4 linked regions of the Drosophila melanogaster genome follow. The main gene of each other region encodes a partner of the protein of the gene in region 4 in a complex. Each region holds a gene or a part of one and is shown on either strand. Other genes may lie near its edges. The genes, in order: Iml1, Wdr59, Nprl2 and Nprl3.

What was found.
Region 1: Nprl3 (region 4) and Iml1 share a complex: the UniProt entries of both Drosophila melanogaster proteins name them as parts of the GATOR complex.
Region 2: Nprl3 (region 4) and Wdr59 share a complex: the UniProt entries of both Drosophila melanogaster proteins name them as parts of the GATOR complex.
Region 3: Nprl3 (region 4) and Nprl2 share a complex: the UniProt entries of both Drosophila melanogaster proteins name them as parts of the GATOR complex.

Annotation. Positions count from the first base shown.
Region 1 is NT_037436.4:1,530,100-1,537,913, forward strand, and holds the start of Iml1 (increased minichromosome loss 1), read right to left. Parts: upstream 3,936-7,814; 5' UTR 3,810-3,935; coding exon 3,758-3,809; intron 3,703-3,757; coding exon 3,395-3,702; intron 3,335-3,394; coding exon 2,846-3,334; intron 2,789-2,845; coding exon 2,184-2,788; intron 2,124-2,183; coding exon 1,952-2,123; intron 1,890-1,951; coding exon 1,481-1,889; intron 1,424-1,480; coding exon 1,292-1,423; intron 1,161-1,291; coding exon of another isoform or gene 1-1,160. Other genes in the region: Ir62a (ionotropic receptor 62a), read right to left, coding at 1-1,160; CG12091 (uncharacterized protein), read right to left, coding at 5,497-6,462; pns (pinstripe), read left to right, coding at 7,611-7,814. UniProt on the Drosophila melanogaster protein: An essential component of the GATOR subcomplex GATOR1 which functions as an inhibitor of the amino acid-sensing branch of the TORC1 signaling pathway.
Region 2 is NT_033779.5:11,088,667-11,097,527, reverse strand, and holds Wdr59 (WD repeat domain 59), read right to left. Parts: upstream 6,085-8,861; 5' UTR 5,962-6,084; coding exon 5,650-5,961; intron 5,587-5,649; coding exon 5,376-5,586; intron 5,320-5,375; coding exon 5,036-5,319; intron 4,976-5,035; coding exon 4,802-4,975; intron 4,747-4,801; coding exon 2,893-4,746; intron 2,766-2,892; coding exon 2,691-2,765; 3' UTR 2,432-2,690; downstream 1-2,431. Other genes in the region: Ge-1, read left to right, coding at 1-120, 229-466, 523-763, 827-992, 1,053-1,575, 1,651-1,840; CG16854 (uncharacterized protein), read right to left, coding at 7,109-8,861. UniProt on the Drosophila melanogaster protein: A component of the GATOR complex, which functions as a regulator of the amino acid-sensing branch of the mTORC1 signaling pathway.
Region 3 is NC_004354.4:16,880,111-16,887,160, reverse strand, and holds Nprl2 (nitrogen permease regulator-like 2), read left to right. Parts: upstream 1-2,795; 5' UTR 2,796-2,920; coding exon 2,921-3,097; intron 3,098-3,159; coding exon 3,160-3,666; intron 3,667-3,754; coding exon 3,755-4,309; 3' UTR 4,310-4,477; coding exon of another isoform or gene 4,478-4,551; 3' UTR 4,552-4,642; downstream 4,643-7,050. Other genes in the region: CG4880 (uncharacterized protein), read right to left, coding at 1-194; DENR (density regulated protein), read left to right, coding at 724-843, 933-1,194, 1,360-1,547; Polr3I (RNA polymerase III subunit I), read right to left, coding at 1,645-2,085, 2,145-2,297, 2,361-2,475, 2,553-2,560; CG4872 (uncharacterized protein), read right to left, coding at 4,478-4,551, 4,643-4,840, 4,911-5,706. UniProt on the Drosophila melanogaster protein: An essential component of the GATOR subcomplex GATOR1 which functions as an inhibitor of the amino acid-sensing branch of the TORC1 signaling pathway.
Region 4 is NT_037436.4:13,997,188-14,005,031, reverse strand, and holds Nprl3 (nitrogen permease regulator-like 3), read left to right. Parts: upstream 1-3,151; 5' UTR 3,152-3,242; exon of another isoform or gene 3,243-3,387; 5' UTR 3,388-3,405; coding exon 3,406-3,539; intron 3,540-3,598; coding exon 3,599-5,297; 3' UTR 5,298-5,652; downstream 5,653-7,844. Other genes in the region: CG17359 (uncharacterized protein), read left to right, coding at 5,850-6,869; CG17361 (uncharacterized protein), read right to left, coding at 7,194-7,826. UniProt on the Drosophila melanogaster protein: An essential component of the GATOR subcomplex GATOR1 which functions as an inhibitor of the amino acid-sensing branch of the TORC1 signaling pathway.

The sequences.
Region 1 (7,814 bases), about 12 Mb from region 4:
TGCCCAAGAATGAATATTCCGAAGAGGATCAGAAAGGTACTAAAGCGCCTGACCGGCTTGCGGTTGCCATATCTGACTTGACCAGCACCAGGCACTCCTAGTATGGCCCAAAAATGTCCGTCTGGAATCAGGCGGCGCACATACACGAAGTGCACTACGAGCAGAACAAACAGCAAGCACAGCCACATGGTTAAACTAAATGGCAGGAACACATAGAGGCTCCTCGAAATTTCATTGTCCAATGGGATCATGAAGCAGCGCGGTGCCACCTGCGTGGGATATGAGTAGTCCACACTGGTGTTTGATTGCAGTGTGTCGTACAAGTGCGGACTCAGCTCCACCTTGCCCTTTACAATCAGATCCGTGAGCGCAGCCATATTCAGCAATGAAGAGCCATTTACTTCAAATCTAAACAAATCCATGGTCACGTTCAGGTGCATCATCAGTTGATTGATCAAGATCCCGCCCAATCCGGCCAGTTCCCAGGCCTTCGTCCTGCGATTCTTGTACCAAAAAGTATTGGGCACATCCTGCTGTACGGGCAATCGCATCCTGTAGCCTCTGAAATTTTTTCGATTTGCAGGCGGAAAAACATGATGCGGATCATAGGAGGATAATCTTCGCATGCGTATCACCCTAACAGTGGGATATGGATCCATTTGGTAGAAGTTTCTGGCGGCCACCACTACCAAAGCGCTCCGGAACTGCAGTTTCCACAGGAGTTCAAAGAAGTATTTAATGTCCTTTTGCGACTCCTGCTTTCTTAGCAGGAACATAGTCCTCGTGTAACGCCTTCCTCTGGCTCTTTCGGCCTGCAAGTAAATCACCGCATCCTTGGAATCCCTGGCGAAGACCAAATATATGGTCTCCTCATCCTGCAGGCTGCTGAAGTGGACGTGCGAGGAATCCTTGTCCGTGGCCGTCATCTGCGGCAGCATGTAGAAGTGATTGCTGCTGTTGCACATCAGGCCGCGATGCAGATCGTCCAGATAGCTGGGATCAACAGATCCCAGGCTGTTCACTATAGTGATGGCATGCAAGCGATGCACGCGGCCGATCCTGTCCAGAAACAGAGCCAGCTCGAAAGCGCGGTCAAAGTTTTCGGTGGCCACGATTTGGTAGCGCGACAAAAACAGCGCGAACAAAAACTGAAGATACATTTTCGCTCGTGAACCATGCCAAACTGACTGGGATTTCCATGTACGCCGAGTACTTCAAGTGCATCTCGAATTATTTGCCCCACGATACGATCTCTAAAACAAAACCTGAAAACTGTTTGCCTAACACTTACCCGTGGTAATTGCTGGTGTCCACTCTTGCTCCCCAGTGGCTCCCCAGAGGTAAGACTTCGCCTGGGTGGCCGTCAGGTTGGGCACATTGGCGGGCTGGGGGTTCATCGGCGAGTTTTGACGCCGCTTAAAGACTGCGTATACAAAGCAATGCTAGTCGAGGAGGTTTAACTTTAGTTACTGCTACTCACAATCAATGGGCTCATCACCCATCACAAAGCTCTGCGAGGAGTCTGACTTGTTGAGCAGCGAATGGCTGGACACTCGGTCGTACTGCTCTCCATTTTCGCACCCGTAATCCTCCTGGTCGTTGTTGTTGTTGCTCTGCGTCTGCTGCAATGGTCTCTGCTGACCAGCCTGCGTGGGTTTGGCGGGCACCGCTTGATAATGATGCTGCTGTATGAGTACACCGGTTGGGCCCTTCGGGAATATGTGCGTCCAGCGGCGGCGATTGGAGGTCAGCTTTATTGTCACTTGCGAGGGATCAAAGGGATTGATCAGAGCGCGACCCGGACGCACTATGGGCGCAATGCTAACGATCGTCCTGCGGGAGTTCTTCTCCGAGGCCAGTGACTCGGAGAGGTTGGTTGTATCCGGTTGCTAAAGTCACATAAAAACAGTTCAAAAGTCAGGTAAAAAGTCAGTATTAAGATTTCCCTTACCAAGGCAGCCAGCATTGCAGAGGTGCCGTGATGAATATCGGGATCGGACATCTTGCGCCGCATAGCCGGGATTTGAGTCGGCGTGAGGTTCTCCCAATCGTTGTTCCTATAGGCATAGGTCTCTAAACTGGGCACCGATGTCTTCTTAGCCCGCACTACACGCTGCAGGGAGCTAAGAAAATAAAACCTTGATCAACAAAGCTAAAAAGGTAATTTTGTAGCACAATACTACCAAGTACTCTGAGCGGGGAGCGGCTGGAAGATCTGTTCATCATACGCATCGTAATCAAAGAGCGAGTTGTGCTTATACTCCGACTGATTGCAGCTCAGGAAGTGACGCTCGTTCTCCTCGCCCTCCCCGTCGCCAACGCCATCGTGGAGCGTCAACTGGGATCCAAACAGAGGCAGCTTGATCCGTGGTATGAAACTGGAGTACACAATCTTCTTGTTAGTGGAGTAAAAGCTCAAGTTTATCCAGTGGGGCAGAGAGTAGTCATCGGCGGAGGTCAACGTGGTGTCTTTGTTGTGGAATTTGAGAAGCGGAACCGCATGCAGTGGCTGCTCGCCCACACAGACCAGGTCGCTACCCACGCCATTGTCGATAATGCGCTGCTTCGTGATATTGGTTAGCTCTCGATCCACGGAAAAGACACCCACTCCTGGGGTTATAACCACGGATAGTTGTCCGGTGCGGTCGAACGTTCTATCCAAGTAATGCTTTTCGAAAGTGTTCAGCGATATGTTTAGCACCTCCAAAAAGTTACCCTGAGTGGCTGAAGAATTGGTGGCCGGTGGAATCTTCATGTTCTCCCGTTCGTGGTAGCGCAGCACAGTGGCCTGTAAACGGCGTAGTAAGTTTTTATAATAGAATAAATTAAAACATGGTTAAGTGACCTGGTAGGACGTGAATAGCTTTCGGAGCTGGCCCAAAACGGTACACCAATCATCACAGCGCTCATTCTGGATGGCCACGCGGTAAAAGTCCTCGTAGAAGCGACCCTTGTAGTCCTGCTGCAGGCAGTCGCGCATATGCTCGGGAAACTCGTCCAGGCTCTTGGCTGCGTAGAAGGTGCGGGAGAACAGCACGATGGTCACCTCGTGGTTACAGCTCAATTTTCGCCACTTTTGAAAGAGCTCAGTGAGAAACCCATTGACTGCCTTTTCGAAGTACAGGTCTCCGTGGATGTCAAAGTCCCACATCTCGGAGGACATCTGCAGGAAGAGGTACACCATCGAAGTGCTGCTGCGGAAGACAATCTTGGTGTCCTCCGTGATGACACCGCTGGCCACGCGCTCGCCTTGCGACCACATCTCGTACACCTGGCACCGAATCTGCATGTCGTTGTAGTCGATCTTCTTGTTCACATACACACAGGTGTCCGTCTGAGGGAGAAGTGGTACGTTAAAAGTATATCCTGGTCTGAAAACTGCGTGATTCCTTACCAGGTAGGTCTTCAGGCGCCACATTTCCGAGCGACCCATGTACTGGTCCTTGAAGGTAATCTCTATCGAGTCCAGGGCCACATCCGCCGGCTTAACTATGCGCATCACCACATTGGAGTACGGACGCATTTTGAAGGCATTGGCGATGCCCGATTCTATGCTTATCACATCCCGGCCACAGCTGCCATTGAACTCGGTGATTTGGAGCAGCAGGTGGGTGCCGTTCTCCTCGTCGGGGGCGTAAATTTCTACCACATCGCCCACATTGGCGTTGGGATGATCCTTTAGATTCATCACCAAGTCCGCATCTGTGCCGAAATTTCCGTGTAACGTAATGTTTGCGCAATATCCACTTTCGCTTACCGTAGGATTTGTTGCAGCCACGCGTATGCGTGTTCAGCTTGTACAGCTTCATGTTGACTTAGTGGTTGCAAAACCAACGGACAATTATTTACTCAATTCCAACATTTGCCCATTTGCATGCTAGTAAAATAAAAATTCTATTTTTTCGTCTTTTGTTTTGATTCCTTATCTGCAGAGTGACCGCAGGCATGGATTATTTGGTATTTTCCTGTACAAATATACCGAATTTAATGTTTACCTTTAATTGTTATTGTAATTAATTAAATCACGCAGTTTATTTATATTTTTCAAGGTAGCTCAACACTTTTATCTTTTATTGAAAAACTAACTTAATCTGCATTCCCTGTCAGCTTAATTATTTTCATATATATTAAATTAAATAATGATTTCAGTTACGTAAGCTTTTCTGTTATGTATGTTATTGTGTGATTTGTATTATTCGTCACAAAATTTGAATTACCGAACGTTAGGGGCAACCGATGCTTTCGTCACTAGACTCCTACCAATTCAGCGGGGATTTGGTGCGTTGCTATTGACTGAAATTTTTTTGGCATCTATGAAGCCTTTTAATTTACCCACAAGTGTAGCCAAAAGTTAACATATTTTACAAACTGGCGAAAAACTTTACTAATTAAAATAAATGTTTTTTTATATTATCGATTTAACACATATACAGTTGCGTAAAAAATAGCACCACCATAGCGCGTTTTATTCTAGATACAAATAATTAAGGTTGCACCGAAATAACGCAATATTTTCGAATAAAATTTTTAAAAATAGTTCTGGGTATTTTTCCTATTCGAATATAATAATAATCTGTAGAATGCATATATTTTTTGCAGCTTTATGCTTATATATGTAGTCAGTCTGCGTCACAGAAGCGCAATCGATTTCTTTCAGATAAGACCTTTTTAATTAAAAATGTAATTTCACCTATACTTCTGGAGGAAAATGATTGTTACATCGCATTAAAAATAAACACCCCCACGCTAATCAGTTTGTCCGCTCCTGAATCTATCAATTTCCATCTTTCTGACCATGAGTTAATCTAAGCAATTAGAACGTTCTATTTAAGTTTTCCGTACAGCTTTATTGTTTACACATATTTATTTGCTTAATGAATTTATCACGAAGTGACTACAAGCTGCATTCGTTGTTTTTCATTGAATAAATTTTATTGGGTCGCAAATATCAGTGAGTACATTTCGACAAAAATTGTTTAAAGACAGTTCGTTCGCCCGCGTAAATGGGTAATCCTCCGTCCTCAGTCAGATAGCTGCACTCGACTCGCTCCATTCCGGGTCCACCATCCATCCAGCTTCCATCATCCGGACCCCGGACTCGTATTTATGATCCTCGGCGTCGGGGATTGTTTCGCAATCGGTTGTTTGTTTATTGTTTGTGGTGATTAGAACGCCACTGACGACAGAGATCGCCAGATCGGGCAGATAATTCGCATTCTCTACTTATAGCGAGGGTTATGTATACAATCGAGGCGCGGGTCGCTCACCAGGATGCGTCGAAGTCGATTCGTCGGTTCGAAAATGAGTTTGCTCGTATATATGTAACTAACAATGCAAAGGGTCAAAGGGTCGTCGTCCTCGTCAATCACAATCTCAATCTCAACATGCAGCTTAAACGGTAGACAGAACCACGAAACTGGCTCCTAAAGCTAACTAAACACGTACGGACTACAAGTAAACGTTAATCACTAGGGAGGATGGGCTGGAGCACCACTCTCACATCGCCACGGTGGCCAGGACAACGGTGATGTCGTCCGGCTTGCCGCCACGCGCCTGAATGTTATTCCTCCTGGCGCTGAGGGCGAAGGGCGAGAGGAACTCGCTGTTGAGGGACAGGGTGCGCGCCATCAGCGCCAGGCTGTTGGCCGTCATCTGGAGCTTGACGGGATCGCGTTCGCCCTCCACCTCGCTAAGCACCTGCAGCATTAGATCCTCGGGCACGTTGTCGAACACTCCGTCGGTTGCAATGAGAATCACGTCGCCATCCCGCACCGGAAAGCTCATCGTGTCCGCCGACTCAGGGCTGTCGCTGAGGACATTGGGCCCATGTCCCGGCGGCGGCAATGACAGTTGGAAGGGTGTGTTAAAATAGTGCTGCTGCTCCTCGGACTTGTGAACCACCTGGCCTTCGCGCACCACAACGAAGCCGCTGTCGCCGATGTTGGCCGTGTGCACGGTGCTCGTCTCACGGTTGAGGATCAGGACGCAGGCGGTGCTGCTGCCCAGTATGGGCTTCTTCTGCTCCATCAGCTCGCAGTAGCTGTAGGCCAGCAGGTTGACTGGTCGTTGGGGATTAAAGTGGCTGCACTGCACCAACCGCTCACAGGTGCGCATCAGGAACGATGAAAACTCTCCGGGATCGATGCCATAGCTTCGCCAGCCGCCCACGCCGTCGGCCACGCCCATGACATCGGCACTGGCGGTGGAGGCCTTGAACCATGAGTCCTCGCCGTACTTTCCCGGCTTGTACTTGTGTCGCAGGTTGTCCTTGGCGAAGCCGCACACCACCGACACGAAACGGGGTCGTGGGGCGCCCGAGGATCCTGGTGTCGCTCCCGACTTGGTGGCCCCCTTGGCTGCTGCCCCACTTCCGCCACCCGTGGCCGTTTCCAGGAGCGTGGAGAAGCTGCTGCGCAGGGCGCGAGAGATCGCACGCGAGGTCCAGCTGAGTGACGAGTGCATCGCCCAGAACTCGTGGTCTCGTGCTCTCAATCAATCAAATCAATCGCATGTGGGGGGGTGTCGGATTTGGATTCGTTTTATTCGTTTGTTACGACGTCGGAGTGCTCCTCCTTGGCGTTCACTCCTACACGCCACTCCTCCGCACTCGTTTTTTCCGGTGCAAAACTCCTGTCTCGACGGGGCACACAATTTACGTTCCAATTAAATGCGAAATGTTATGTGATGAAGTGATACACTTTTTCTCGTCAGGTCGCGATCCGGTTCAGAACTGGTTCGGTGCTGGTTCCCCACCCCAACTCTCCGCTCCTGAACGGGTTCCGAAACCATATACACCCTATTGTAGTAGTGTTATTTTCGGAACCAGTACAACTCGTTTATATACACCAACGGTATATATAACAAAAAGGGTGGTAAAATATGCAGCTTTACTTATTGCTCAAGTTTTAAAAAACAAACATATTTTTCGATGCAATTGTTTTTCGCAAGTATTTTTCTGCTGGTATTTTAAAGAAACCCCCTTATGCTTTTAGTTGAATTATTATAACGGTCATTTTCTTTTGGTTTACTCCTACTTACACAGCCTGGTCATACTGGCGACCAAAGTAGTTTGTTTTTGCCAAAAAAAAACTCAGGTCTGCTCTACTCCGCGATATTTGTTTGCCCAGCTGGTCTTTGTTGTTGGTAGGTCCAAACAAACACGCAGCCAGTGTTAACCCAGTTTTGGGGCTAGTGATTGCTGTGGCTCCCACGGCCCAGCAGCGGGTTAAATACGACAGTGTAATTGTGAAAGAGGAGAGTGTTGTGTTGTTGGTGGTGGACGTGGGCAACGACATTGGCATAGAAAATTTTGCATACACTCTCCTTCGCACACGCACACCTTCGTCGAAATTGTAAAAATAAAACAAACAAGTAAAAATAGCACTTGGCTTGTTGTTGTGCCTAAAGTTGTACGTATTTTGCAGACGGAAATTGATTGGTTGTGTAAATTCGAAAGTGCACGAAATCGCGAGCGCATAACGGTACATGTATACACACACAAGCAGCACACGCACACACATGGAGGCAGTGCTTTTTGTTTGATGTCCCATTTGGCGGATTAAAGACAAAGAGAGAGAGACAGAGAAACGGAGGAGGAGGACGAGGACGCGATGACCACAAGGGAGAATGTGGTTTCTAGTCGCCTGTCCAAGCTGATGCTCAGCAGCGGGAGTGGAAATGGCAGTGGCAATGGAAGTGGTCCCAACATCCAGGTGGCTCCATCCTCCACCCTGGTGCAATCTCCCACCTCGCCCGGGGAGCAGTCCCAATCTCAGTCCGAGCTGAACCAACTGAAGCGGGATGCGGATCCGCAG
Region 2 (8,861 bases), on a different chromosome or scaffold from region 4:
ACAACAACACGGCTACAACTCTTAGCACCAGCAACACCAGCAGCAGCAACAACGCGGGCGGAACATGCGTTGATTCAAGTGGAACTGGAGAGCTAAATGCCAAAATGGAACTACTCATAGGTAAGTGGTTGTGATCTTCAATCAGAAATTTTAAATATTTTATATTAAAAGAGGCATGATGGCGTAACGTACTTCAAATACTAACAATTTCACATAAATTATTTGCAGATCTAGTAAAAGCCCAGTCCAAACAAATAAACAAATTGGAGAACGAAGTCAACAAGCTACAAAAGCAGCAAGAAGCGGCGGCGGCCCTGCATAGCAAACAAGACACTTCATTGGAGCCTAAAAATCTTAGTCAGCTAGCATATAAAATTGAGATGCAACTGTCCAAGCTAATGGAGCAGTATCTCAAGCGATATGAAAACGAGCATAAGAAGAAACTGACGGAATTCTTGGCGGCGCGGTAAGATACATATAACAAATTTTCCGGGGCACAATCCAAGTGAATACTTTTTGCAGTGAGAGCCAAAACCGAGAGCTACGTGACTCCGTGCTGCAGGTACTAAATCAGTATGTCATGAACCACTTTACGGACATTATTGGCAACGTTCTCAACATGGAACTGCAGCGCCAACTGCTTCCTCGCGTGAATGCCAACATGGATCAGCTCCAAGCCCAAATGCAAGTGGAGATTGTGCAGAAGCTGAGTGTGTTTGACAAAACGGTGAAGGAGAATATTGCCCAGGTGTGCAAGAGCAAGGTACGTAATCTGCAAGTCCATCTATAAATGCTTATAATTAAGCGTTTTTTTTTCATTACTTAGCAATTTCTGGATACTTTTGGCAAGTCCGTGTTGATTGGTGTTCAAACCAGCCTACAAACCGCCTTCATTGAATCTATGAGCAGCACCTTGATTCCAGCTTATGAGAAGTCCTCGCAGAACATGTTTAAACAACTGCATGACGCTTTCAGCGTGGGCATAAAAGACTGTTAGTATATAATCATTACAATCATAATGGATACATAAAGCTCCTTCTTTTGAATTCCAGTTATGGTCCAGTTTAACACCTACCTGCAGCACATGCCACAGCCCCAAGCCGGGAGTGGCAATACGGAGGAGATAAACAACAAGTTGTCCATGCTTAAGCAATTGGTAGAGAGCAGCTTGCACAAGCACCGCACTGAACTCACGGACGCCATGCTCGAGACACAAAGAGAAGTGAAGAGCTTAGAGATTTTGCTGGCGCGTCAGGTACAGGAAACGATCAGAGCAGAGCTACGCAAGCACATGGAAGCCCAGAACGTGGCAATGCGTTCGCAGGCAGCTACGCCTGCACCACCTTACGACCTCAGGGACAGCATTAAGCAGCTTTTGATGGCTGGACAAATCAACAAGGCCTTCCATCAGGCTCTATTGGCCAACGACTTGGGCCTAGTGGAGTTCACTCTCCGACACACGGACAGCAACCAGGCATTCGCACCAGAGGGATGCAGACTGGAGCAAAAGGTTCTACTGTCGCTCATTCAGCAAATATCCGCTGACATGACCAATCACAATGAGCTTAAGCAGAGGTGAGCTAGGAGAACTAAACAAGTAACAAAACATTACAAAGAATTACATTGATGATGTACCTTTTTCATTTGTAGATATCTCAACGAGGCACTGTTGGCCATCAATATGGCAGATCCCATTACCCGCGAGCACGCTCCTAAAGTGCTCACCGAGCTGTATCGCAATTGTCAGCAGTTCATTAAGAACAGCCCCAAGAATTCGCAGTTCAGCAACGTCCGTCTGCTGATGAAGGCAATCATAACGTACCGCGATCAGCTAAAATGATATCAAGAGAACTATAACCTGGCCAGTGGCTGGTTTTGATAGATTACCCATCCGATCCCCATCCAAGATAGTTAATCTATGACCACAAACACATTTATAAATACACGCTTGTAGTTAAGTCCAAAAAGAAGTTAGTATGCTAAAAAGCTCTCAGCTAAGTTCATCCCTTAAAAAGTTGAAATTGAATCTATGCCTTTCATTTTATTGTTTATTTGTTTTGTGCGTGATTTGTTTATAGTAAGGCCGTATATCTAATGTTTATGTCGCTATATCAAAATTGTATTATCTTTATAATGATTCGCCTACTAAATTGCAATATATTTTTTTATTATTTTATTTTTGCGTTCCTTTTATTTTCCTTTTTATCTTTATGACGCTTAATGAACAAAAGAAAACACACAAAAACAAGAATAGGAGCTGTAGAAACTTATTTAAAAATTATTTTCAAAACTAAAGCAAACTTTATTATGACGGACAAAACAAAAAAATTATTAGATTGCAAATGCAAAAACTACAAGTAAATCGTAGAATTTAAGCTAAAAAAAAAAAAAAAAAACAGAAAGCAAAAGTCGATAATAAAAAAGAATAAATGTATGTACTTGAAAAAATCTAGAAACAGTTCTTTTTGAATTATCGTAACCATATGATTTTGGTTAAGTGTATAGTTGCATAAAGCTTTTACCCTTAGCTTGGCTAGTAAGTGGTCATATATTTCTCAATGGTATGCAAATCGTACAAAAATTGTTGGCCTAATGACTAAAAAACACCTAACTATTTTGATATCCACACAGACGAAAGAAAGTTAAGTAAGATTATTTTTGAAAGGAATGCACATCACTCAAGGTCTGAATCAGCTGAGTAGGGCTAGCAGCTCTGAGGTGCGCTCCAAGCACTTGCAGCCACACGTAGCACAGACATTGTGTTTCTGAAAGTTAAACAAGAAAATAGCAAACATGAATATATTTATATCCATAAATCCATAAATCCAAATCCATACATCGTTTGGTTCGTGAAAAAGAAACCAGTCGAATCAAACTCAAATAGATACCAACCTCAAACCACTGCATCATGTGATCAATGTGACCGCCATGGCCACAAGCCAGACACGCATTGGCTGCTCCTTTCACAGGCAAACGGCAGAGGACGCAGAAGAGTACGGGTCGCTTGCAGGGCTCGCATTTGGGCGTCCGTTTGGGCTTGGCACACTTCCTGCACTCGGTAACGAATTCCACACCCTGGACTGGAGGTGGTGTATTCTGCGTGTGCTTGAGGATCAAAGCCCGCTTCGAAAGCAACTGCCAGCCAAATAAAATTTCGGCATAGGCGCGCTTAAATTGATCAAACAGTGGCATCTTAGTCCGTCTAATCAATGAGCAAGCGTATGCATCAGACTGGATTTGCTTAATCTCCAAATCCAGGGAGTCGGACCAAGAGTTGCTGCGTAGTTGCTTAAGTTGCTGCCAAGTGTTCGATGAAGAAGATGACTTGACGTCAAGCGGCAGGACCGTGTGATACGGTGAAATTTGCGAGTTAAGCTGCGGCGGAAGTCGAACTGTCTTCTCCATAATGGCACCGCCACCCGTGGGGCACTTGTCAAACAAACAAGCCAGCAGCACAGCAGTCTGTATGTCACCGGAGATAGCATAATGCATTATTAGTGATTCCAGCAGAGATTTCTTGAAGGGATCTTTGTAGAACAGCAGATCGTTGAGTGTTTCATGTGGAATTTGGGGTGTGGCTATCAGTTCCGCCAATAGCCACACGGGCACCAAGTCCAAGCGCCCATGCTGGCGACAGATCTCACCATTTTTACGACACGTTTCTGCTATGTTGCACTTATCGAGGGAGAACTCCCGAGCCATTCTCCGACTAATGTGGAGTAAGCTACTTGTGTCGTATACGTGAACCACCGGACTTCCATTCATCTGTCGGATGGCTCGCTGCTTGCCCGGTTTTCCCGAAATCATCCTCTCCTGGAGGTAAAAGGAGGCGTTAGCTTCCCTCTGGGCGGTGGCCATCACATTGCCTAGCAATCCACTACCATTAATCGATGAAAAAGTCCGTGGAGTCAATGCGGTGTGTTGCCGCAGGGTCAGCCTTTTGTTGTTCACTGGTTGGGCGAAAGTGGTCAGCATACCAATGGCATTGAAATGGACCCCTGACGTCCGCGGATATGGAATGCAGGCATCGTGCAGGGTGCTCGACAAAGCTCCTTCCAGCCGAGGGGATTGCAGGAGCAGTTGGCTACGATCCGCTCCGCCTACAGCGGCCACCTTTTTCTTCATAGCCGCCACTAGAGCACGTAGGCATTGTTCCAGGCACGTGCGGGATTTCTTGACCCGTTGCAATGCATTGCAACGGAGCACTTTTAGCAGAACTCCACTAACTTCACTGGACAGAGTGGTTCCCTGGCAAAGCTGAAAGTCCGGCGGAGCACTAGGACTTGGATACGATGTCGTGAAAGTCACTTGTAAAATAACCGTGTGTCCACCGGCGCAAATCTTGAAGCAGGCGTACCGCTTTATGGCATCTAGTGTGTCTACCTCCACATGAGGCATGTTTGTGTTGAGCAGCGAGAATTCGTGGTGCAGCGAACACGTGGGTTGATCTGTTAGTGATCTGGCTATGTGGGGCTCTTCCCTGCGATAGTAGCCACCTCCAAAGCTCGGGGAGCGAGCCATGGGCAAGGTATTACAAGCACCGTCACCCGTGGATATGGGCAACGAAGCGGCAACCAAAATTGATCGTGGATGCAGGAATTCTGGAGGAGTAGGCACTCTTAACTCACTGAGATCGGGCTCGAAACGGGATTCTATTTCTTCCGCAGACGGTTCGCAAAGCTTTAGCATATTATCATCGATCTTCCACACCCGCAGCGTGCGATCCCTGGACCAAGTGACCAGTTCCTAATTAAAGCTCAATGCATAAGTAAGAACATTGTGGTATCTTTAAAATACTTACTATTTCATTGGAACTTTCACGATTTGGACGCCAGGCAAAGTCAAGAATGACATCGGTGTGCCCCACGAAGGAACAAATAGGGTCCGTTTGCTTGCTGTTGCTCCAGAGCAGCAAACTATTCTCTCCGCGTCCCAAATGGGGCACCACAATGCTAACCAGACCGTTGCCAATAGGCTGTATGGAACAAGATGTATTTAGAATAGCAATCAATATTGATAAACCAATATAAATTACCGTGTATCTCGCTCTCCAAACGGGCGACATGGTTGTAATGATCTTCTCGGCCCTGCGAGGATTACATACATCAAAGTACTTGACCGTTCCATCCTGACTGGCGGTTGCCAAGCAGGTCTCCCTTTTGTGGCTCCAATTGATGCCATGCACTCTATTTAAATGTGCTGTGATATAGTGCGTCGGGCAACTACCCTTGCGAATATCCCAGATGCGTAAATCTCCATCATGGGCAGCAGCCAAAAGGTTGCCCGAAACGCGGTTGAATCCCACTTGTGTAGCACCAGCTGAAAGAATTTTAAATATAATATAAAAAAGTTGAAATTATTTTGTAGAAACTTACACATGCACACGGCATTCAAGGACAGGGCTGGTTTCCTGGGCTCCCTTAAGTCCCAAATATGAGAAAATGTGTCTATTGAGCAGCTGACCAGCAGATTCGGATCCTTGCCGTGCCAGTCAATGTCGGTCACTGTTCGAGTATGCCCACGCAAGGACATCTCGTAGTGTGGTTCCGCAGTGCCCCAGCGAACGATGTCTATGTGCTGGCTAGTCTGAAATTCAAAGGTCAAACTGGGATAAACGCCGCCTATACGTAGATAACTTTATGTATTTACCGCTATGGCGCAGTACTCTTTGCGACTGGGACATATGGCAAACTCTGCTACGGACACCTCGTACTTCGATTGCCGTTCATGTCGTCGCAGAGACCCATCGTCCTGTCCCAAACGCTGCAAAGCCAGGTGACCACGGCCCGCGAGGAGCACCCACTGACCCGAGTAATCAACCGACATGGCCGTGGCCTGGGAATCTCGGTGTTCATAGTATTTGTTGCTCTGCCTGACGATGTACGTTTGTTCGGGTGCTCCTGCTCCCGGTCCACCGGCTGTTCCGCGTTCTCCCGGACGCAGTGTCTCCGTGGGCGGCATATTGTCCTACTCTAATAAGTGCTCAAAAAGCAAAAGACTGCGAATTTAAACCATTTTTGCAACAAACAAAAATTAAACGAAGAAACTGAACTGATAAGAACGATAGACAATAACAACAGGCGTCTGTGTTGGCAATTAAGCATTTTTTCCGACAAATGAATTTCCAGGACCTCGTTAAGCTGGCTATTTTTCAATAATGCTGTTGCTATAGTTTTTGATAATATATTAAAAAAATTACAAAATTAAACTAGAACATTATATGAAAAAATTGTACCTAATATTTTGTCGCAAAAGTTTGTAACACCCATAAATCTAGCTGGAATAACGACAGCACAACTATAGCTGAAAATGTTGTTTTTTCGATAGTATCGATAAAATTGTGGTTATAGCTATCGGGATTTGAATTTATGATATAAAACAGGTAAACGAGCTCAGAGCAAAATTTATAATTTTATATATATGGTCTTGTTAAATAAAAACGTTCGATTTTTTTTATAGATTTATTACATTTTATAAATTGTCAATCACCAAAAATATACATGTGCATTGGTTCATAAATGTTATGAAAATTATTAAAGTACGTGGCTAAATATAATTTAGCATCTAAATAAATTTGTAACTAGAAAGGGATATTCCCAATTGACTCATTTATAAAAAGTTCATCCTATTATTCATTTATTAACTCAGCATAAGGCTATAAATCATGAGATACTAAACAAAAAGTGCATTATATATGTATATAACAACTCAATTATGGTCTACAACATTAAGTGCTACATATTTTGGATACTATTATTTATTTATATGTTCGCCACTTCCCTCCCTAGTCAGTAATAGCTTATCATTTATTTTACATACACAAAGTAATTCTGCGGTTATTACGATTATTAGTTCATTCAGTTTATTGTCCTCTAAGTTAGTGGGAAATAAACAAATTCCGCTCAACTACCGTGACTACATAGGTGCCTAAGACTGGGAACTCCTTACGGCAAAGGCTAAAATTGGATAAGTATTTTTATACAAACATTGGCTATTTCATAGAAATAAACTAGGTTTTATGGCTAAGGCTACGTTAATGGGTTTCAAGTCTTTGACGTCAAACACATCCTCCCCATCCCCGAAAGCTCCCAGTTACATTGCCATTGCCTTATCTGTGGCAATAGCAGAACATTTTTAGCGCCGGATCGTTGAGACAGTAGCTCTGGCTTCCGTACAGATTCAGACGACTAATGGTGCCCGTTAGTACGGTCGTATAGCCCGTCATCCGCACCGTGGACTCAAACACACCCAGCCCGGGCTTCGTCTGCAGTCGCAGGGTGATGTCCACTGCGTAGTCCGTGGAAATGTTCTTCACAATCTTCGAGTGCGGCGCTGCAATCAGAGCCTGGAGTATGGAGTTCAGGTATAGGGTTCTGCACTGTGAGCTATCCTTCAGTCGGTTATTGATCAAGCGTACCAGATAGCGCGCCGCCCGCTGGACACGTGGATCGTTTGTCTGCAGCTCCTGGCGCTGATGGCAGGTGCACCAGTGGGCGGCAATCCCTGCCTGCTCGCAGGTCCGAGCAGCCGGGATGGGCAGGAATAGGCTAATGCCTCTGGGCAGCGTGCTATCCGGCTCGTCCATCTCTGTTGATCTGCGTTGCAACTGATCTGCCTCCAGATTGTGAAGATTTAGCAGCTGCAACATTGTCGCGTGCACATCAAATGGTGTGGTTAGCCGGCGGGCATTTAACCTAAGATTGGCAATTGCCTCCGGATAACGCTCGGTCATCCATGGCGGATACAAAAGCATCATTAGGGGCTGGCGCTCCTCCATCATGCCCTGGTAGGTACGACGAAAGGAACCCCATCTCAGTCCGTGATCGGATAGCAACATTACCACCGTGCGATTGAGCAATCCGGAATCTTGCAGCTGCATCAACTGTTGCAACATGGCCTCATCCAGTAGTGAGGGGAAATTAAAATAGTCATGGGTTAGGGCCACCGTCCAAAAAAATGAAAAGTAAAGATCCCTGCTCATTCGTGGCACCAATTTCTTCATATACTCGAGCAGCACATCCGCCGTCCTCCGGCTGCCCATGCACAAGTGCATGTTGAGGTCCTTCTTGAAGGCCACAGTCTTTTCCATTTCCATAATCATGGGTCGCAGATAATAATCCGTTGGCTGCTTTCGGAACCCATTTTGATTGTAATTGAATGCCGAGAGCATTGCCACATCCTCGGCGAAAATGGAGCGATAACCCAGTTGCTGGTAGCGTTTCCAAATGAATGAGCACCTATCATAGGATCGCAATGTCTTTGGCGTGCAGGCCAGATTCAGTTCCTGATCATCCAGGCCACTTAGCAGGGGCACGAGATTGGGAAACGTATTGTCGCCCACCTTGTTGTAGCCCCAAAATTCCACGTGGGACAGATGCTTACGGACGTAGTTCGCTGTGCGGCGCATCTGGCGCAGGAAATTTAGATGCGACAGGCTATCCATGCCGAGTATCATTACGGATAGCCGTTCCTGCTCCTCCTTGCTCTTGTTGAAGCTCACCCTATCGGTTCCAGTCTTAAGTGGGGGCCTAATCCTTGGCTTATCGACTGCAAAAAAATGACAGTCCTTGTAGAAGAGTTTGTCCAGTGAATCATAGCACCACATGCAAATGAACTCCGAGCTGAGAGGCAGTTTCATAACTTTGTCCAGCTTAAAACTCACTGCCGGACTGTGGGTGTTACTAGAATCGGTTTTGCGCTTCACCTCCGTATAGTTGCAATTAACGGAGGACAGGTCACTGATGTTGTAGTATGCGAGCAGCTCACTGGCCTCCAGATTGAGATGCAGCTGTCCGGGAATTGTGTCGCTCGTCCGGATCAGAGCTCTGTTGCAGCTGTACGGACGTGGCTTGAAAATGAAC
Region 3 (7,050 bases), on a different chromosome or scaffold from region 4:
CAATTCCGCCATGGAGCCTTCTTCTGGGTACAATGGGCAATGTCCAAATGGTGTTTGCACACCTTTTTATTCAACCGCCTGTTGGACTGCAGGCGGCGAATCTCAGTCCTCCTCTTTCTGGCGAATGGCCGGCTTATCGGGGCGACCACATTTTCATTCTTTTCGTTCTGTATTAGAGTATTGTATGTGACCATTTTATTAAGCCTTGTTTCGTTAGCAACTGGATATTTTTGGCTGACTTGTGCTCGAATACAATTATCAGCCTACTGTGATACAATTTGGTAAAAACTTTGGTTGCATGTTACAAACCGGCAAATTATTCTAAATGCCGCTTCCTTCATGCAGTATTTCACGAGTGTTGTTTTGATAGGCAAACATATTTTGGTATTTTACTATCGAAACATTCTTCTGTTCTGCCAATAAATACAATTTTAATAAGTATTTTGTAATACAATACAAGGTATAAATTAAAATAGTTTCAATCAATGTAAAATTAATGAAAATACGTAAATTTTAATTTTAGCTTATTGATAGTCGGAATTGTACTACGATTTAAATAAAGGTATATTTTAGGTAGGTATTTATTTAACATGTGTCAATGTTAGTATATTTTACGAGCCTAAACAAAAACGGTCAGTTTGCAGTAGCCGACTTCTTAAAACTGTCATTATTTTAATATTTCAATAACCCGGAGCAAATCCCAGGCAGTTAATCCGATCCGCAATGACGAACGAAGATGTGGGCACCAACAGCGTCGCCGACCGCCTACAGTTGGGTCCGCGCGAAGGCGTCACCTATCCGATCCAGATGAAGTACTGTGGCCACTGCACGATGCCCATTGAGGTGAGTTCGTCTTCAAACCTGGGAAAAATCCATATTAGGGATCATATATGGCCCATATATTTACATATATATATATCCACTATACGCAGTACTGCGAGTACTATCCGGAGTACGAGAAGTGCAAGGAGTGGCTGGAGCTCCACATGCCCGATGACTTCGAGCGACTAAAGATTGAGGAGGAGGCTGCCGCCGCTGACGGGACGGATGACGACAAGAAGCGCCAGAAACGCGGTGGCAAGGGACTGTTGCGCGTCAAGAAGAAAGAGGACGTGCCCAAGCGTATCTGCGTCTCGCGGGCGGCACGTGGCAAAAAGAAGTCAGTGACCGTGGTCACAGGATTGAGCACTTTTGGTAGGTTCTGTTCGCACATTATGAGTATAGAGTAGGAAATGGAGGGGGATGCGGGCCCACTGGATGCTATGAGTAGCCATTACCATACCATGTAACTTAGATATATTAGATATACTTATGAGCTTTATTGTTAACTAAGCATAATACATTCCCTGTCTGTTCCAGATATTGATCTCAAGGTGGCCGCCAAGTTCTTTGGCACGAAATTTGCCTGCGGCTCCTCGGTTACCGGAGACGACGAGATCGTCATTCAGGGTGACGTCAAGGATGACTTGTTCGATGTCATACCCGAAAAATGGGCCGAGATCGATGAGGACGTCATCGAGGATTTGGGCGATCAGAAGCGAACATAAATAATTTACCTTTTTTTTTAGCTTATTTTATACGCTCCATCAACATAAATATATGAAACGTTAAACGTAATAAGCGGATGGGTTATTTTGGCGGCTGCTACCCGAGGTTTTCTCCATCTGGTGTCGGATTGGACTTGGTTTCCATTGAAGTGGGTGCATCCGTTGCAGGCGCTGTAGTGGCTTCATTTGCTGGAGTAGCATTATTTTCTGAAGACGATGTTTCCACTGGGCTTGCTTCTTCTGCTGGAGTAGTAGTAGTGGCTTCACTTGAAGGAGTAGCGACATTCGCAGGAGTAACTCCATCACCTGGCGTGGTTTTGTCCGCTGGAGCTATTTGTTCCGCTGGATTGGATTTTGCCTGGGCATTACGCTTTACGCCAGATTGCTTGCCGGCCTTCGCAGTGGACTCCGCAGGCTTTTCCGCCGGTGTTTCCTTAGCAGCGCCTTTGGTTTCTCCACCATGGAAGTGTTTGTAGCTCAGCTGAATGATTTTCTCGTTCTCCTCATCGGTTAGTGGAGCTTTATTGTCGTCGATGAGCTGGGGAGGTTATTATATACTTAATTAGCCTTTCTGGCATATGATAGACTAATCCTTACCAGTTGCGTGTGTAGTGCACTTGTAGGCGGATCGTTGATCATTTGCAGGATCTCTTGGGACTTTAGACGATAAGAAGACAGGTCTTTAACGTAATTCATAATGTTCTCACGAGTTTGTGTCTTGCAGGGCGACTCCTCCAGATACTGCAGTGCCTGTGGAACAAAGTGTTTGGTTAATTTATCATATATTAGTTAAATATTTAAAAAAATCGACACCTCATAGGTAACCGTGGCCAAGTTGCGCATGCCGAACTTCTTTTTGGTGCTTTTGATCTTCTGTAGAATCTGCATTACCTCCAGATTGGTGAGGTACGAGAACGTGGGATTGATCCTGAAATGGAAGCGTTATCATCTGCATATTATTCGCTGTTTAATGGAAAAACTAAATAAAAACAAAACAATCCTCACGTTTCCATTTCTGCAAATTTTAGTATGACCGCAGAGCGAGCGCTAAAATATACCCCACCTACGCATATTACAGTTGGCCTTTATATATTAACATAACAGATAATTTATACATGAATAAAACGATCTACTCAACAAATTAAATGGTGTTGAATTAATTTGTTGTTAAAATTTGTTATAATTGGTTTTTGCATTGGAGTATATTTGTTGCAGTAAGGCTATGGTCACACTAAAGCATCGCTTACCATAACATTACAGCGAATTCCGCCACTGTTATTGGATTGTGCCACCTGCTGTTAAAGCTTTGGAGTCCACTCCGCGGAAGGAAGCAGAGGATGTGGATGCGGTGATACTGGAATCTTTTGAACGGCATGCATTCCCATACGAATGAGACGGCTGCGACGTCGACAACGGCGGGCGCGGTCACGAATGGAGCAGGCGGATCAGGAGCTGGAGCAGCGGGTGCCCATGGCAGCACGGAGGGCAAGATCCGGTGCATCTTCCTCAGCGAGTTTCATGCGACGGCGGGCTGCAAGATAAGCTGCCAGGTGAGCTGGTTCCCAGGAGCGCTGATAACGCAGTATAGTTCGAACAAATCCACGTCCCTCAGGTTCCTGATAACTACATATCCAAGGATGTGTTCGATGCTATCAATGTTTACATCATACCCAAGCAGCATCTTCAACGCTGCATTCTCACCGTCAACGCAATGGATGTAAAGATAGTCGGCTATCCAGTGGGCATCCAGGATCAGCAGAAGTACGCACGGAATGCCTTCCTGTTTAACCTATGCTTTGTCTGCGACTCGCGGGCCAGGAGCGTCCAGTACGAGCCGGTCGTCAAGAAGCTGTCCGAGTACCTCATAATGATGGAGGAGGAGTCGTGCTTCCTGTCTCGCGAAGATGACAAGCGCCGCCTACAGAACATCTTTGAGACTGTACTACGCGACCTTAACGAGCGGAAGGTGGCCACCATTGTTGAGGGCGATAACACTATATACCTGAAGATCGTCATGCACAAGCCGGACCCGCCGCCGGTCAAGGATCACATGGTGCCCCTGCTGCTGGCGAACCTGCGCGATGCTCCGCTGGACAACTGGGACCTTACCACACAACAGGTGCGGACTATTCCTGATTCTATAGTTATACAATCTTCACGATGTAAATAATTTAGTAATCCCATTGGACTGTTATGGTTTCCTCTAGATCCTGCCTTATATAAATGGAATCAACCATGTTGCCCGCATTGCCGCCGAAGCGGACGTGGAAACGGACCTGGTCAAGTCGTGCATACAGAATCTGGTCTACTACGGGGTCGTTCAGCTGCTGCCAATCCTGAAGTACAGCAACGTGTACATGACGCAGAACCTAAAGCATCTCATCCAGAGCGCATCACTGAGCGGCGCATGCCGGAAATACGTGGCCTTGCGTCCGGACAAGACGCTGCCCAGTGTTCAGCGCATCTTTCAGTTCTACGCCTCGATGACTCACGGCGTTACTCTGCGAGCGATCTGCCAGAGATTGTGCCCCCAGCACCACAACATCGATGAGCGTCGCATGGTGATCTTCGGGCTGCAGCACCGATTCATTCGCTGCATCCACAAGTACCCGGTGTTTACGGGCTCAGTGCCTTCCGGGCGGCAGAAGATGTACACCGGGCTGATCAGCTTTGACGAGATCTGCTGCAAGACGGGCCTCTCGCCCTGCACCATCGAGCGGGATATCGAGAAGGACACGAATGTGACTGTGATCTGGAAGTGACGACCGGAAGGACTTCTCCGGCCAGTTGGGTTTGTTGTAGTTTGTAAGCGAACCGATTGTTATGTTTCCAAATGCTTTTTTATATACGCGCATATACACATTAAAGTTTAAGAATTCACTGGTTTGGCTTGGGCTGGTTCCGGAATCGCTTTGCCAGCTGGACAGCAATCAGGAATCCTTTGCGCTAGAGATAATGCAATCCTGAACCGCCTGGGCCACACAGGCGTCCTCCGAGGCCATGCCTTAAATAGGAAATGTATGAAATTTTTAATGATACAACTTTGAAACAGACAGAGATAGTCATATAGTTACACAAACTTAATAAAAACGCACCCATGGATTGAAAGATGCTGATTTCTAGCTCCTTGGGATAGTTTCCATCCAGAATGATCTGACCCACTTCAGCGGTGATCGGCGCAGGTAATCCCACCAATTCAGCCTCGGCATTGGCATAGCAATCCACGTAGACCTTGGCCTGCTGGTAAATCTTTGGAGCCACCTCCGAAAAGTGAACTTCGCCGGCTCCCACAGCTGAAATCGAAAGTTATAAAGGGTAGGTCATCATCATCCATCCAGCATTCCATTATAACAGCAGACCTACCGTTAATATGAACAGCCCGTTTGGATTTCAGATCTGCCAACTGGATAAGCGGCTCCTTGGAGTACGTGGCGATGCAGATGATATCGGCATCCTGGCAAGCTTCGTGAGGACTTGGACATACAGTAATCTGGGTTCCGCTCTCGGTGTTCAATTTCTGCCGCAGTTGGTCCGCTAAACCCAGTGCCTTTGCCTGCGTGCGATTGTAAAGATTAAGCTGCCTCACCCGGAAGTTCGCGCAGAAAGCGGCAGCATGGAGTTGTCCTTGAACTCCACAGCCCACGATGGCCACGTTGATATTCCTTTCCTGCTCCGCCTGCGCCCCAAAGCGCCTGAAGTACAGATACTTGGTGGCCACCAGTGAAGCGGATACAGTGCGCCAGGTGGTCAAGTCCGTGCCCTCCATTATGGCCGACAGTTGACCGGTTTGATTGTCGAACAGCAGCACATGGGCATGGATGCTGGGCAGCGGAGGATCCCGTCGGGGATTCCCACTGAACGAGGTCACCAACTTGCAGGCCAGTGTTGAGTGGGTGTGCTCCACTTCCCCAGGATCCCTTGACGATTCCAGCCTGTAGTTGCCCACATAGGCGGGCATGGTGAGCAGAACCTTGCCAGGTTCCTTGCCGCATGGAATAAAAGTCCTCTTCGGTTGAAAGGCAAAGGATGTGGAGGGCGTTTCCGGATTCTGCTTAACTATAGCTACAAGTGCAGATTCCACTGCCTTATTGACCAGCGGCCAGGTGAGAACCTGACGCACAGCATCCGCATTGTAGTAAGCTGGCGTAGAGCTGCTCATATTGGCAATGAAATGGTTTTAAAACAAAGTAATTCTTGCAAATTAAAATATTCTAATTATAATTGGAATGCAACTTAGTATCTTACTAACGATCAAAGAATGCACTGACCAGGGATGCCAGGTTTTAGGAATATTGTTGTGGAAATAACTATATTAAGCAATGTTTTAATTTCTGATAATATATATTAGAAATATATTAAGCTTAAATACTGTGACTGTACTCTATCAATTTTGAAAATTGGACTCATTGTACATTTTTGTCTTACAAAAGCTTATTTAGTTTGAAATCTTGGCAGCACTGTTGACTTAAACTTAAAAATTAACTAAAAAATACCGTTACTATCATTTAAACACCTATCGAAATCAACAGTCGATAACTTTGATGATGCAAAGCGTTGAAATTTTAAATTGAAAGATCAAGGTGATCATTATTTGATAATATTCAACGTATTGAAGAAAAAACAATGACGTTCGGTTTAAATCAGGAAAGACCATTATCTGAAGTGGGAAAAACCACCAACCGAAAACCAATTTTCACGGGCGACTGTTTTTCCTCATTTCTAATGCAGTTTTCCCCATTCTTCGGCATCGCTGGGAAAATGCATTTTCACCGCACGCCAAGGGCGAAACCGCAGCGCTCAAAAAGGGAAACCGCTTCTGTCAACGGCTTTATCGCCCCGAAACGATTCTCGCAAACAGCTGGAAACTGAACCACAGCCCACACAACCCGTCCACTCCACTCCACTCCAATCCAATCCCACCCAGACCAATCCAATTCGGAGCCGCAGCAGGCGACACGAAAGTGAAAAGCGAATGCACTTTTCCGAGGCTGCAGCTGATAGGGAAATTAATTTATGCGCCGCCATTGTCTTTCTGGTCGCGCCATTTTATTTTCCCAGCTGCTAATTCAAATTTTGACATAATTTCTTCACTGTGCGCCTCCGTCGCATGCTTTCTCGCCTTTTTCCCAACCAATTTCACTTGACTTGACCTTTGCGCGGCAATTTCATGGGTTTCCATGCACTGGGCGAAAAGTACCGCCCTTCCTAATGTAGAATTCTTCTAAATGGCTACTGATTATGTCATTCATGCAAACGGCTAGGATTTACAGTGCACAGTGAGAAATTGGGAGAGTATTTCATGATTTTATATAAGAAGAATAGCATTGTGTTGAATTATGATACTTTTAAACCACCTTAAGTCACCCAATGTCTAGAAATATTTTTGATTTTATTAAAGTCACCCAATGTCTAGGAATATTTTTGATTTTATTAACATTGAAAATTAAACATTACAAACTTACCACTCAGCATATGGAATCTTGTTTCCAGCTTGTTTTTCGGC
Region 4 (7,844 bases):
CCGAGAGCTTCCCCGCAAGCAGGATTTTTAATCCGCCACTGCTTTCGTGTCGTTTTTGTTGGGGATTTCTTTTTGTTGCTATGGCTTTTGTTGCATCGCTAGATGAAGTAGAACAAATACAAAGCTTATCGAGGCTCGCAGACGCACACATCTAAACGAGTGAGTCGAAAAGAGAAAGACTCCTATTGTGATCTACGGAATAAAAATGAACCTACAATTAAAAATAGTAATGCTGCTCATATTAGCTTGTTGACCAATGGACTACGTGACTGCACAATATCAGGGGCATTGCTTTGGCTGTACTTTCATTGAAACAGTCGCCAAGCGTAAAATGGGTTTTAGTTTTTGCATACCAGCTACAAAGTGTCAACTTTAATTGCGTCTTATTTTAATTCACTTGCTCGCTAGTTCTGGTCCGTCTAATTCGGTCAATTACTAATCAAGAATTGAGACTGCATGGGATTTTATTATGGATATTACACCATTAAAAAAATCTGTGGGGTTGGGAGGTGGTTTTAGGGGGTTGTGGCGGTTTGGTTTCGTTCCGCGACAACCTTTGAAATTATCGAATGGCTTAGCTTTCGCGAAATAATATTTTGACGATGGTCTTGTCTGCGCTGCGCAGAAAATAACGAAAGCCGAGCGCAGGCAAAAAGTTGTCTATCAACTTTTGCTTTCATTTTGTGGCGAAAATTCGCGCGTACAAAGCACAAGGCATAAATAACAATTGCAAAAATCACGTATGCGCAAAGAGCAGAACAGGAACATTCGAGCAATGCCTGTAAGCGAGAGCGAGACCACCATAGCTCTCCCCACACACACACTAACACTTAGCTATGTTAACTGCGGCCAACTTCACGGCGTACAGGCGTGTAAACGCTGGAGCACGCAATAAAAAGTTTGACGAAAACAGGGCGAAAGAAAATAAAATAAAAACTATATAGCTCTGTGCTAACATTCTGGATAATGGGAACAACATGGCGTCGTCGATATCGTTCAACTAATTCTCATCAACTTTAATTTCACTTTGCGGTCGATTTGTTGTTAAGTTTTTCCGACTAGCTGATGCGCATGTCAAAATTTTGGTAGAGACAACAAAAACACTGCACGGCATACACATTGCAATCCAAATGCGGAGGGGTGTGCCAAATCGAAATATGATTTTAATACTGATTTAGATAATCTCCTTAGAAACTCGAGCAAAACAAACTAAAAACAACTTGAAATTTAACAAAACAATTGCTTCGGGTTGGCAACTCTGTGCGAGGGGCATAATACGCACATCTACCTTCACGTTGCACAAAACGGAATCGAAAGCAAAACAAATGAACCCGCAAAGCTGTGCGAGCGAGCACGCTATACTGACGGTTAGTTGAAAAAAGAATATGCAATCAAATATGGCGACACACAGTATGCAAAAAAAAAAACCATACAAAATCGACGCATCAACAAATGAAATATTTATTTAACTGGCTCGACTCAAAATAAAATCTGAATTTCATATATATGTGATCCAATAGATATGTATAACCCATTCGACTGTATATTTTTCGATTCAAAATATTTCCGATTTGGGCGCGCACTCACATACAAACACACACACTAGTTTTACTCACCGTTTACTCTGTTATTTTGAATTTTCACTTCATTTTGCACAACTTAATTTAATTTAACGACAAGCTACGTGGTTTATTTTTTATTTCGAAACTTTATATTTCAATTTTATAAATACAAATTAAATTTGTATACACTTTAACACTGGTTCTTTTTTGTTCCGTTGCACATTGTTGATTTGCAGCATTTAAGTGATGGCGCGACGTTGTTTCGAACGTTTACTACCTGCACAAATTAAAATGTTTCTACTTTGATTAATCAATTTTATTATTATTAATACCGTATGGCACAAGAAGCAGAAGACAAAACGCGCAGGAAAACACATAAACTGGGATTGCTTAAGACGTGTGTAAGAGCGAGACGACCAGTCGGTTTGAGCAGACCATATAGCTAGTGTGACCGTTCTAGCCTATGGACAAGACATGCCAACTGACTATTATCGCCTATTTTATTTTGTTCGCCTGCCCTGCTTCTTCTTCTTGGTTTTTGTGTTGCGCTGTTTCCCTGTTTAGCCTATTACTACTGCGCCTGGCCATTCCGAAATGCTGTACGTACATATTTCGATTTCGCCTTTCCGCCTATTCGTTGATACCCACACAAACGTATATCTGTGCATGCCTTTCTACGTAGGTATGTGTAAAATCTATACACACGGATGTTGGCGCACATATACACAAAAAGTAAAATAGTTATGTTATTAACTATTTAACCACAAGCTATTTACATTTTAGGCACTTATTAATCCTATTTTCCAAAATACAAGGAATAGATACAGAAACGAAGACATAGTAGAAAAACAAACCTACAAGTAAATGACAATTAGTTGAAATTAACTTATTGGCCACCATACTGCCGAAGAGTGCGAAACTAATTCAGAAGCGAACCACTCAGCCAAGTAAACTATATTTTTTTGTAGAATTAGTTATACCTCTCCTACACTCACACAAATATTATATATATGTATATATAGACCGCGGCTAGTACACGTTTAGCGTCGTCTCGCTCCCACCTACGATCCGCACGTATTTTGCCTCTCACAATGTGTGTGTTTTCCTCTTTTCCAACACGCTAATAAGAAATCGTCATTTTTAAAAGTGCTTTTACAGCCAAACTAACATGTTTCACAGGGGAATTTCATAGTTCTGCGATTGCCGCGTTCGCATACTACGCTCCCAGTTATTTTCACAAATTTTTTGTTGACGTTTCGAGCACAATTTCCACACGTTTTGCTCACAACTTTCCGCTTCTAAAAAATTAGAGACTGACCAACCGAAGACGGTCACACTACAGCGGAGCGATAGATCGTTATCGCTCGACCAGGGATCCTATACTATTAGCCTTGCCGATATATATTTATTTATATAGTAAGACCGTTTTTCGTTTAGTATTTTTTAGTTTTTGAATATATTATCTAAGGTATCTATGGTAAATTTAAACGATTTAAAAAAATTCCATTGCGTTGCATTTATATTATTGTTTCGCCTGCAAAATGAAAACTGACATGACTACTATTTTAAATAAGTTTTTGGTATTTTATGCAAACTAAAAGAGAGCCACACTGCTGTAAATATATTTTATATTTTACATTTATTTACTTTGCTTCCATTTCTCAATGAAGTCAAATTGAGGTACTAATAAATAAATAAAGAGTTGTTGAGGTAGTTTCTGTAGCAAACTACGATTTATAAAGTATTTTTGAAAACATAGCCAACTATTTGTTGACCCTGACCCCAGTTGATAATGCAAATGTTCATATTTTAATTTACATAAAAGGGGAAGTGTCTGTGTGCCATGGAAACTAATGTGAATCCCCTGGCCGTAATCCTGGTTTACTTCGATAGCAAGGGGGATCGGTTACTGTACAGGTATCCGTACCAGACTCTCGGCCAAACGGAGGTGGCCAACGACGAGCAGCGGAAGTCCAGGTACTACCTATTAATTCAAAGGGCACTCAGCTTGACTATACCGATTTATTCAATCACAGAAAGCGCAATCCCTATGCCGTGGCCAATACGGACGATCTGCTGCAGACACCCACCCACTTGGGTGCTGCCAAGAGCCAAGGACAACTGCAGGGATTCGCAGATGAGGTCCTGTCCGCTCTGTTTGCTGTTAAACCACAGCTATGCAACCAAAAGTTTGAACTCAAACTGAACGACGTACGCTTTGTCAGTCATCCCACTCTGATACCGCAAAAGGAGCAGAGAAGTGGTCCAATGGCCAAGCAACAGATGCTCATCAACATTGTTTTTGCGCTGCATGCACAGGCCAGCTACTCGATTGTTAAGTGCTACCACGAACTGAGCAAGCGCCTTGGACTGGCGCTGAAGTTCGAGGAGCAGCGCAGTGGCTATCTCACCGAGCAGACGGCTCAAATGGCTCGCACACACGACGAGCAGCAGCAACAGCCGCTGGAACGCACACTGGAGCTGATTGCAGAGCGCTGCAGCTTGGCACAGGCCTTGCGCTCCATCTTCCATGATCTATGCACCACTGGACTGCTGAGTACCTCGCTGAATCACAACCTAACGTTGTGCTTCTGTCTGCCCGCTAAGGCACACCAGCTCCATAAGAAGGGCAGCATGGTGGATCCAGAGACCATAGATCGGTGCCTTCGTGCACTGAAGCCCTATCATGGCATGTTGCTGCTGGTCGACTTTGCCGAATTGTTGGACTGCGTTCCACCGACTGGGGCACGCATGCTATGGCAGCTAGTCGACGTCTACGACCCACTGATCAGTCTGCAGAGCATGTCCTCCAATGCAGACTTGAGTATCGAGCATGTTTATAAGCTCGTCTCGCATTTGGTCTACTGGGCTAAGGCAACTATTATTTATCCACTCTGCGAGACAAATGTCTATGTGATCGCGCCGGATGCACCATTGCACACCAAGTCCCACCTGGTGGAGAAGTTCTCGGCCCGTTTTGCCGGTATGTCGCTGTTCGAGGTGATCTCCGATTTTTCATTGCCCACTTCAATTGGACACTTAACCACGCCACTGCAGCAGCCAGCGCGACAGGGTATCCTCGCACAAATGGTGATTTGGATGCTGCAGCACCATTTGCTCATGCAGTTGCACACGTACGTTCAGTTTATGCCCAGCGAGGATGAATTCGGAGATTCGGCCTCCTGCAGCAACCATCTAAGGGATGCCATTAGCGATGAAGAAGGAGACCAAGAACCAGATGCGGACGAGTTGCATGGCTCCATGCTTAGCATGTCCAGTCATCCGTTGCCAGTGCCAGCGGTATTGGTGGGCGGACATCGTCGTGAGGCGTCCGAGGACCATTCATCACTGGCCTCGGACAACATCGCCGTGCAGCCATCATCCAGCCACAAGTCCAATTTCAGCATCACCGCCTCGATGAGCACGGACAATTGCGACAGCCTCGATTCCATGGAGGATGAGCAGAAGCTGAAGGAGCTGCTACAGGTTTTCAGCGATGCGGATCGAGCCGCCATCCGTCGAATTCCCGCCTCTGCCAACGTGGATGATCTATCTCTGCTTGTGAAGCTGTATCAGATGGGTTACTTTAAGAGCGAGCATCATCTGGAGGAGATCATGTACTTCGAGAACCTGCGACGTTCGCAACTGCTGCAATTGCTTGATAAATTCAGGGATGTGCTTATCATTTACGAAACCGAAGATCCTGCAATTGCATCCATGTACAATACCAAGTAGAGTTTGGGACGAATTTGCATTCCTAGATTTTAATGTTGAATGTTTTTGTTTAGTTTTTGAATATAATCTATAAAATAGGTATGCATCTAATTTTGTAAAGTTTGCGAAGCAAATCAATTTACGCTTGTAGACTACATATTTTGTTATTTATTTGTACAAGCAAGTTCTTAAGTTCAATTCAATTATTGTCAAACTATGTTTTTCCGTGATTTCATACAAATTCAAAAAATTACTCATATTCAAAACAGCGTTACATTTTAAGCTTCGCGCCCATTGTACAGCTTTAAGGTATATCGATAAGTGGGGAATATTCTGATGCTCTAAGAGCCAGATTAAAATAAAATATTTAAAAAATACGAAAAACCCATTTTTAACTTAAAAAAACAACTTTAAATCATAAATCAAAGCTGATAAATTAATAAGATGCGAAGCACAGCTGATTATTCGGTATTTTTTTGTTGGTATATTCCAGTGATTGGTATTTTAATAGTTGCATTTTGTTGATATTGTATATTTTTGATCCTGCCTACGAAACTCTGGAGCTCGGCCACGATGGACATTTCGCAAATGTGCCGCGTTTGCAGGGACGAATCCGACTGCCTGTTGGATATATATACAGAGCCATATGCCTCCTCCAATCGGGTCCAGGAGCAGGAGCCGGTCTTGGCCACAATGCTGAGGGAATGCAGCGGATGCAGCGTGCATAAGGAGGACGGAATGCCGCAGTTCATCTGCGTGGAGTGTGCGGAGGCCGTAAGAAATGCCTATCGGCTAAGACGGCAATGCCGAAAGAGCCATCAGTACTTTGAACAGCTGCGTCTGATGATGAAGGAGCTGGACGATATAGAGTATTGCCTGAATATAGGGGATAACATAGAACCACAGATGCCGGTCTCGGTAATGGAAGCTGGTAAAACGCCGGAGACATCCGAACCTCTTTTAGTTGAGCTTGTGCAGGTTAAGTACATGCCTCCAGAGCCGAAGCCAATATCTTCTCCTCTTCCAGACAACAATGAGCATAAGCTCGCGCAAAGTTATTCTCCAGCAAAGACGCCACACAATAAGTCCAAGAGGAGGGCGAGATCCTACTCGGACAATGACTCATGGAGCCCGGATAGTGAGCTTGAACACGAAGATGATGATAAAATCTGGAACGCCTCAAAACGGGGCAAACCGAAAAGGGTTCCCGGACCATATCGGTGCAAGCTCTGCACACAGTCGTTCACCCAAAAACAAAACCTAGAGATTCACATGCGCATACATACTGGCGAGCGACCCTACAAGTGCTCCCTATGTCCGCGATCCTTTGCCCAGAAGGGCAACCTGCAGAGCCACACACGTTGTCACACCGGCGAGCGTCCCTTCGGTTGTCCGAACTGCCCCAAGCGCTTCCGGCAAGTTGGGCAACTGCAAGTCCACACCCGGACTCATACTGGCGAACAGCCGTTCAAATGTTCCAAATGTCAGCAAAGCTTCAAGCAACTAAACGGCCTACAAAAACACATGTCAGCACACACGCGAGGGAAGCGACGGACGAGCAGCCAAGAAACAAAAAGAAATAAGTTTAAATAGTTAAGATTTGTTAAAGGTATTTTCATATATTGAATGTCCATATAATAATTTCTTGTTTGAAATCGACAAAGCTAGTAATCGCAACCAAAGTGAGAAAGCTGCTTAAAAACTGTTGTGAATCGATCCGATTATCATTTCTTTATTATCTTATTGTCAATATGAGAACATGAAATTGTTTTTAAAACTACACTCCATATGTACTTTCATTATTAGTCGCTAACTTGTTTCTACTTTAAAAATATATCGAACTTATTTTTAAAACGATGATACAAGATGATTAATTACTATTTTAGTTGGCTACATTTTGCCAAGCGTTGCCAAGGACTATTTAAGAGCTTTTCGTCTGGTCCTTGTGGATCCTTTGGTGTGGGTGCGCCTGTGCATGGTCAACTGGGCCTTGCCGGTGAAACTTTTTTGGCAGTCGGTGCATTTGAAGGGCCGCCTCTTATCCACCTCGTTGCGAGTCTCCTTCTTCGGCTGCTTATCGTTCCGGTCCCCATCGTCCTCCTCCTCCTCCTCCTCGCTCTTGATGCGATCCGTAAAATCCCAATCCTCGGCCTCCAGGAGATCGCATGTCTCCTTGTCGCTTTGCTCCCTCTTCACGCGCGCCACGTATTCCATGGTCCTTGTGTAGCGTCTCCTGAATCTCAAGGCCTCACGCAATTTAATAAGGCACGGTTCGCAAATTTTCAGCGGAAAGCCGTCCCCGGTATCCACTGGATATGCGCTGCAGATATTCAGCAAATCAGCCGGCGTGGGCTCCGGTTCCTTGGTTCGCTGTAGATCGTCGCTCAGTCTGTCCCCCAAGCTCTTGTTGTCGTAGATGTCTAGCAGGTCCTTCGGCTCGTCCATACACACCCGGCACATCTTCACCAATTCATCCATGGCTTCGTTGCTTCCTTCGATTCCAAGCAAATACAATTCAAAAAGAATAACTAAACTGTATCGGATGACCATCAAGCCAAAACAGAAAAA